2 linked regions of the Oryzias latipes genome follow. The protein of the gene in region 1 purifies or fractionates together with the protein of each later gene. This does not show direct contact. Links are inferred from orthologs where the notes say so. Each region holds a gene or a part of one and is shown in the gene's direction. Other genes may lie near its edges.

Evidence for each region. Proteins that work in one complex are often made in the same cells at the same time.
Region 2: the proteins of wdr59 (region 1) and nprl2 purify together in Homo sapiens (affinity purification with western blotting; 5 studies listed by BioGRID and IntAct, with this or other methods). This does not show direct contact. The link is inferred for Oryzias latipes from reciprocal best matches to the Homo sapiens genes WDR59 and NPRL2.

What each region holds. Positions count from the first base shown.
Region 1 is NC_019861.2:37,920,998-37,924,575, reverse strand, and holds part of wdr59 (GATOR complex protein WDR59), read left to right. Parts: intron 1-466; coding exon 467-546; intron 547-613; coding exon 614-746; intron 747-838; coding exon 839-960; intron 961-1,040; coding exon 1,041-1,205; intron 1,206-1,272; coding exon 1,273-1,368; intron 1,369-1,435; coding exon 1,436-1,540; intron 1,541-1,612; coding exon 1,613-1,734; intron 1,735-2,134; coding exon 2,135-2,288; intron 2,289-3,567; coding exon 3,568-3,578. UniProt on the Homo sapiens protein: As a component of the GATOR2 complex, functions as an activator of the amino acid-sensing branch of the mTORC1 signaling pathway. The GATOR2 complex indirectly activates mTORC1 through the inhibition of the GATOR1 subcomplex.
Region 2 is NC_019863.2:8,118,689-8,123,052, reverse strand, and holds the start of nprl2 (GATOR complex protein NPRL2), read left to right. Parts: upstream 1-1,495; 5' UTR 1,496-1,833; coding exon 1,834-1,905; intron 1,906-1,983; exon of another isoform or gene 1,984-2,058; intron 2,059-2,642; coding exon 2,643-2,734; intron 2,735-2,860; coding exon 2,861-3,029; intron 3,030-3,125; coding exon 3,126-3,234; intron 3,235-4,364. Other genes in the region: hemk1 (hemK methyltransferase family member 1), read right to left, coding at 745-807. UniProt on the Homo sapiens protein: Catalytic component of the GATOR1 complex, a multiprotein complex that functions as an inhibitor of the amino acid-sensing branch of the mTORC1 pathway.

The sequences.
Region 1 (3,578 bases):
CTAACGCTAAACACTATCTGCTAACGCTAAACACTATGGCTAACGCTAAACACTACGGCTAACGCTAAACACTACGGCTAACGCTACATGACATCTGCTCACGATTAACGATATTTGTAAACATTAAACAAATTTTGTCACCACTAAATGATATTTGTAAATTTCTAAACGATATTTGTGAGAATTCAACGATATTTCTTTAACACTTTAACACTAAACCAAAAATGTTATTGCTAAACGCTAAATGTTAGTTTTAAACGATGAATGCCTTAAAAGGCAGAACAAAAGGAATTGTTAATCAAAAATGTTTAAAACTTTTTCATTTGATGGGAGTCTGATCTTTGGCCGTGACCAACTGAACTAATGCGACCTTGTGGTTTCCATGGAAACCATTTCAAGTCTTTTCAGCACAAAATGACATGGAGAGTTGACCGTTTACTGCTCTGTTCTGTCGGTGCTGCTGCAGGCTCCAAGGACTTCCAGCTGGTCACCTGGTCCAGAGATCAGACTCTGCGGATCTGGAGGGTGGACCCTCAGCTGCAGAAGGTCAGCTCCCCCGAGACCGGCTCCGGCAGCTCCAGCGGGCTCTGACTAGGTGGTGTTTGTGTTGCAGCTGTGCGTCAGTGACGGGGTGGAGGACCTGATGGAGGGGATGTCCCTCACCGTGGACACGGAGAAGTCTCCGTCCTCTCAGGGGCCCGAGGGTCAGCTCAGCGGAGCCGGAGATGGTCTGCTGGGTGAGACAGGTGGAGCTCAGGAGGAACCAGGAGGCATTTCCTTCATGGAAGTCCTTGATGGAGACTCTGAACCTGCACTGACTCGTGTCTGTGGTCCTCAGACCAGGGGGGCTCGCAGAGCTCCGGGACTCGTCAGGACTTGGCCCCGGGTTCAGGTCTGACTCAGACTCTGCAGCAGGAGTTCTCTCTGGTCAACCAGCAGATCAGAAATGTGAACATGGAGGTGAGGATCCTCTGTGCCCCTTCAAAATAAAAGCTGGGGGTCTGAGAGCCTTAATGGTAACAGGAGTTTGTGGCGTGCAGATGGACGCCATGAACCGCAGCTGTGTGGTGTCGGCGCACTTTGGCAGCCATCAGGTTCACCTGGTGGTCAAGTTTCCGGATCAGTATCCCAACAACGCCGCCCCCACCTTCCAGTTCGTTTCCCCCACGACCATCTCATCCACCATGAAGACCAAGATCCAGAAGGTGCAGCAGGTCGTCTTCCTGAGGGAACTCCAGAGCTGCAGATTTACCGTTTTCCGTTTCCGTTCAGATCCTGAGGGACACGTCTCTCCAGAAGGTGAAGAGGAACTTGAACTGCCTGGAGCCGTGTGTCCGACAGCTGGTGTCCTGCCTGGAGTCTGACATGGTGAGACGTTTGGACCGATCCAGACCCCATCCGGAACCTTTCAAGTTCTCCTCGTGTCTTCTCTCAGACGCAGGAGGACAGCCCGGCATCGGGTCCCTTTGTGCTGCCCAACCCCGTCACGCCATCGCTGCAGGCTTTCCCCCGAGTCACCAACACCTACGGCTCCTACCAGGTGAGGAGCCTTCGTCTGCGATGAAGACGATGCTGGCTTCTAGCTGACGACCTCTTGTTGTTTTGTTTTCAGGATGCCAACATCCCCTTCCCTCGTACGTCTGGAGCTCGCTTCTGCGGAACCGGCTGTCTCGTTTACTTCACGCGACCAATCAGCATGCACCGCTCGGCGCCCGCCATAGAGCCCACCCCCAGGTACAAACGCCACGGCAGCAGATACCAGTGTGTCTGATGACTCACAAGAGTAACCGGTGGCTCCTGCTGCTGTCAGCAGAGACCTCCCAGGGTTGGTGGTTTGATGCCCAACTTAAAGGTGTAGTTTTGGTTGATGCATCAGGATTAAAGTTTAGACGGTTCGCACAGGTGTGAGTACAGGAAGTGCCTAAACGGGTGTCTGGGGATCATATATGTGAGGGACATGGACCTTCATGACATGTGTTCCTTCTTTTGGAGCATCTTCTGGTTTCTAGGGGTTGACTTTCCTGTTTTTAGCGCTAAAGTCTGACCTTTCTCCTGAGTTCAGGGTTAGTTTAGCCCACGAGCTCAGGTGCATGATGGGACGAGGAGCTGTCAGTCATTGTGTTTTCGCGTCCAGGTCCCTGTCGGCTCTGTCGGCCTATCACAGCGGAGTTCTGACCCCGATGAAGATGCGCTCCGAGTCCCAGAGCACGCTGCGGCTGTACAGCGGCAGCCCCACCCGCTCCGACAAAGACACCGTCTCCATCTCCTCCTTCTACTATAAAGAACGGGTGAGGCGCGCGTCACATGACTGCAGCCTCCTGACGGCCGCTGCTGCTGGTTTTTGATCTTTTCTTAGCGTCTCCGTGATGACATGAAGGTTTGTTCACACTCAGACAGTGGAAAGGGCTTCTGCATTCACATCAAAGGGACCAGTTGCTATGGCAACAGGGTAAGCAGGTGTCTAGATTGTAATGGAAGTCGACCTTACAGTCCAGCTCAAACTGAAGTTTATCAAAATCGTTTAGTTGAAAAATGATAAACAGCGTTGATGATTTGACAGCGCTTTACGGTCCATTTACCCATAAACGCACCGCTGGCGGCCCGCTGCCAAAGACCGGCGCCAACCTAGATCCACCAGGAGTGCCTGCCCAAGGACACTTCAGCACACGGGGGAGGGGGGTAGGAACATACCTGCTCAAAGACGGGAGCGCCGGAGATGCTGCATCCATCTGTCGGCCTCCTGCTTTGACCTTTGACCTTTGAACCCCTCAGCCTGGGGGAGGGAACCGTCCCTAACCACCAGAGGAGAAAGACGACCCCGGACGTACAGCCGGAGGAGCCGGTTCCCCTCCAGACGGAGCTGGGGTCCGGGGTTGATGAAGCTGCACACTGGCTCCTGGAGCCAAACGCTCCTGTGGGAGGAGCTCTTCAGCCCCCCCCCCTCCAGGATCATTTAACCACTAAAGCGGGTGAAACAGCATCTAACTGCTTCCTGCAGCTTCCTGATTCCCTGCATGTCATGGTGGGTTGATGGTTCTGCTGTTTGTCTGCATTTTGGGAACTTACTGCCCCCCCAGAACCAACCAGCCCTTCAGGGGGGGGTTGAGCAGAGGTTAGCATGTCACTCCTTCAGGAAGCTTCTGTTTTTGCGCTGACCTCCTGCAGGGAGGGGCGGGCGTGTAAGTTCTGCAGATCCAGGAGCGGTTTGTCTCCGTCCGTCCACCTCTGCTGGAAAACAAGGTGTGGGGTTGGAAACCTCCATGCTGGACGCTGAACCATAACCCAGCTGAAGCCTGAGAGAAGACGCGGGTGGACAGGGCGGAGTTTGGTGAATGAATGTTTGGACCTGGGACCTGGTTTGTGATGAAGGTCCTGGTGTGCCGCTGAGTCTTCCTCAGTCTGAGGATGAAGAAGATCCTGCAGCCATTCCGGTCTTCCTCCCTCTGGCTGCCCCCCTGATTGGCTTTGTTTTGTCTCTTTGTCTTTTGTTTGGCGTTTTCTCTCTGACCAATCACCCGCTCACCTGCTGCTGTGGGCCAAACCTCCTTCCCACCCTCCTCCAATCAGAAGCTCCCAGT
Region 2 (4,364 bases), on another chromosome or scaffold:
CGACTTGATTCGTTAGATCCACTTTAGCTTGGGCATGAAAAAATAAAAATAAAGGTGTGACAGGATGTTGAAGATCCACTCCAATCTTTTGTTTTAATTTAAAAGCGTTCTAAGCGGCCTCATAATTATAATCATGCAATTTCTAGACCCCCCCAAAACAAAACAGAACGGTGTCATTGTCTAGGATAGTTTCTGCAGAGCAGCAGGAGTTTATTAGAAATTCAGATGTGGGTGGTACCTTTGGCACACAGAATATTGTTCAAATTTAAATAATTTTCAAAGGGTCTGATTTTCAGTGCAAATTTGATATTTCATTACAAGCACTGAGGATGGCTTAAACATATGACAAAGAAAGAATAAACAAATGGAAGAAAAAAGCACAAAAAAGAATAGAAATGTCAAATAATTAGATATTTAATTTGTATAGGTTTGAGTTGCTTTCGTGAATAATTTAGCTGTTAAAGGATCATTTAACCCCTTTGCATCTTTGATTATCATCTTCACTCTGATACACACGTTATACTCTGTTACTTACTCTGTTGCAGGACCAGTTTGCTCACAGCTATCAGCCCAAAAAGCAGGCTCCAACTGGTTTTATCCATCCATTTATTACTGCACAATAATAAACAATAAAAGCCTGCGTATCATTAATTTCATCACTAAGCGCACGTGGTCATTTCTGTTGCACCACATTATTAATTCTGGTCTTTGTGTGATCAAAGCATGTTGTGTTTCAGCAGTTACCTTTGTCCCGCCACTCCTCAACCCAATAAAAGCGTGACCTCCTCTGAGCACTCGTCTCCACATGTTCAATAACAACAACAGCGTTCACATCCCCACGTGGCAAGAATCATGCTGCACTAAAATAACACATTAACCATTTACAGTCTATATATACAGTCTATCTATAGTTGACGAAATGATTCTCTATACTAAGTGACTGTAATTTGACTATAAACTGAAGACGTTTTCCTCTGTAGTCCACATGAGAATTGAAAGGAGCTCGGAAAGTACTGTTTCCGCAGGGCTTTACGCAAACACACCAATCCTGGACTGCGCATGACTGACTCTCGCGAAGCGTGCTGCCTTCAAGTGCGTCGGTTAATATGAACTACAACAGCCAGCAGAAATAGAGAGGTGCTTATTAATAGAAAGAATGATTAAAACATTCTACTTAACAATTTCAACGAAAAATAATGTAGAGTTAATAAAAGTAAATAACATTTAACTCTAGTGTTTTAGGACGTCTCAAAAACTAAAATGCCTTGATGATATTAGTGAGTCCATAGTGAGTCCGTGAAAGTGAAAATGAACAATTTTAGAAGTTTTAGTATTTGTCATGCATCAGAGCATCAATATATTGATGTTAAATTTGCATTAAATTCCTCTGAGACTCATTGTGAAGCGTACAGGGCTTTTTGGGTAATACTTTTAAGGAAGCCGTTGTATTATCCCTCATTTTCCAATAGGTGGCGACAAATCTTCTGTCAGCCGATCACCAACGTCCAACTGCTCTACAGAAGAAGAGAAGCGACTTGTGTTGTTGACTGCTGAGGGTTTTCACATGCTGTTTAAACAGTTTAAGACGCGTCCAACAACAATATCTCTAAACGCACCGATAATACTATATTTTATTCGGTGATCAATATTAGGACTGTTGGACGCTGTAGAAATGTCGCCACTATTTTTTCCTTAGGCGCAAAAGCGTGGAGCTAGCTAGCTAGCTAGCTTCGTTTAGCTGAAGCAGGAAAGGAAGAAACGACATCGTCCGTTTCTTCTGTCGGTATCTCTGACTCTAATTTTTAGCCTCTGTGTTTGAAGTTCGTCACAGGCATGGTCAATCGGATAGAGTGTATATTCTTTAGTGAGTTTCACCCCACACTGGGTCCAAAGATAACATATCAGGTGAGTGCTAGTCTGAAGTTGTGATCATGATCCGTAAGCAGACTAGAATAGTAACTTAGTCTTTAATGTTTACCTTAGTAGAACGGCCACAACAATGCCTCTATTATGCAGTACCGCATTATGCTGTGCCCTATTTTGTCCTAACACAAGAAAGTAAGAAAACTTGTTTTTCCTTTTGTTATTTTTCGCTTCCTTTTTGCACATAATGTTTCTTTTAATAACAATCAATGTCAGTACATTTCACTTTAACTTGACGCCCCACTTGTTAAAATTGCACTTTTTTTTCCTTTTTATATGATTATTATTATATCTCTCACATGGATTCAATGTGTCATGTGTTGTATCATTAAGATTTATGATCAACAGTAATTATAATAGCATCACCTACATGTGTTCGAAGAATGTATAGAAATGGATATTTACTTTCAATATTTTATTTTCCAGTCAAATAATTACTAATCCTCTTAAGTTTGATATATCTATGTGTAAATGTATCACTCTTGTTTGCCTTGCCCTGTTTTCATTGCTTGAAATAAATCCATACCTAATTCTAAAGGTCTATTAAATGAAACCGTAAAAGTGCAGTATTTTAACAGAAGTACAGATGAATACGAGAGTAGCTCCCTTTAAAAAAATCATATTTAATTTAAATAAATAAGTTGAATCTTCTTTATATGTTATATTGAACTGAGAAATGACATAAAAATATGAGTTGATTCTATATTTTTCTTTGTCAGGTCCCAGAAGAATACATCTCAAGAGAGCTGTTTGACACGGTTCAGGTTTATATCATCACCAAGCCAGAGCTGCAAAACAAACTAATAACAGTGTATGTGTTCCAAAGTTCTCTCTCTGATAGGAACTTCTATTTAGTGATTTGACAGAGTCATGCTTTCTAAATAAAGCTGCTCTTTCTCTTTAGTAACTTTGACCCTGCTTTTGTTTATGTCTACAGCACGGCCATGGAGAAAAAGTTAATCGGTTGTCCTGTATGCATCGAACACAAAAAGTACCGTCGAAACGCCCTCCTCTTTAACCTCGGCCTCGTTTGCGATGCCAAAACTGATACTTGTGCCCTTGAGCCAATTGTCAAGAAGCTGTCTGGGTACCTCACAACCTTAGAGGTAATGTTTAGCACATTTACTTTGTCTGATCCTGTCTGTTTTTCAAATCAGTATATCTGAATGTGTTGTTGTTTTTTTTGTTCTCTTCCGTTGCAGCTGGAGAGTGGGTTTATTTCTAATGAGGAGAGCAAACAGAAGCTTCTACCAATCATGTCAACCTTGTTAGATGAACTCAATGCAACAGGAGCCTGCACTTTACCTATTGGTATTATTTAGTCTTTGTGTGTGTTGTGGATATTACATACATTTTTAAAACCACAATTTTACAGATCAAGAAAAGGATCAAAAGTTACTTAAGTGTTCAATTTTTGCATATAATGTCACCAACTTCATCCAAATTTGGCCAAGTATTCTAAGTTTAGTTTTGGTTAGGATTAAACCAAACCATTTGTTTCACCTTTAAACTAAATTGTTGGGAAAGTAAACCAGTAATATTGCATTGGAAGTGTCAAACCCTCGTGTTGTACTAAATGTAATATACTTATTATTGTTTTATTACATTACACTAAGCTTAGCATAAGCAAACTGAATTTTTTTTAAACTTTGTTACTCGCTCATTAGCACATCCAAAAAGGATCTTTCCAACTATTCTTTTGTAATTTTTTTGTGTTTGTGTTGTAAAACACAAATCATATATCGAACCAAAGCAAAACTATGGTTTGAACCAAATCATGGGGAATATGAATTGTTGCACCCCAATGTTAATGTCACTAAAATTTGAATCCATTTTTCTTACATTTTTGAACTTAGAAGTTCTAAAGGATTGTACTAGTCTGCCTTTGCGCCGCTGCCAAAAGTCAGGGTAATTACTGGGTTTTTGTCTAAATTGCAGTAGAATCTTCATCTTATAAACTCACTCCATTAAAAATTGGGCTTTTGGGGTCTTTAGCGTGTTCTTGTAGCATTGTTCTCATGTTGAAGGACATATAAACAAATGAGTAATTTTCAAAATTCAAATCATTGTGAATTAGGGGCAGATGGAAAAAAAAGTCGTTTAAAGGTTGTAGGTGTGAAGCTGCTACAGTAAGCCGTGGACAAGCTGGCATCTGGCTCAAAGGTTTACGGCTGTACAGCTTCAATATTAATGTTAGGTTGGGGGTGTGAGGGGCTGTAAGCTAGCGGGAGAGAATGAAAACAAAGGGATGATGGGAAGTCAGCACAGGCTTACTCCCTTTCCAACAGTCCCGCCCACAACTCTGAGGCAATTTTCTCATGAACTCCTGCTGCTCTGCAGAAATGATGTCCCAGTGAACAACACACGTTTTTAGATTTAGCCTAAAAACAACAAAATCCTATGTAAAAGACCACTGGGAAAACTTTTAAAACAGATCGAAA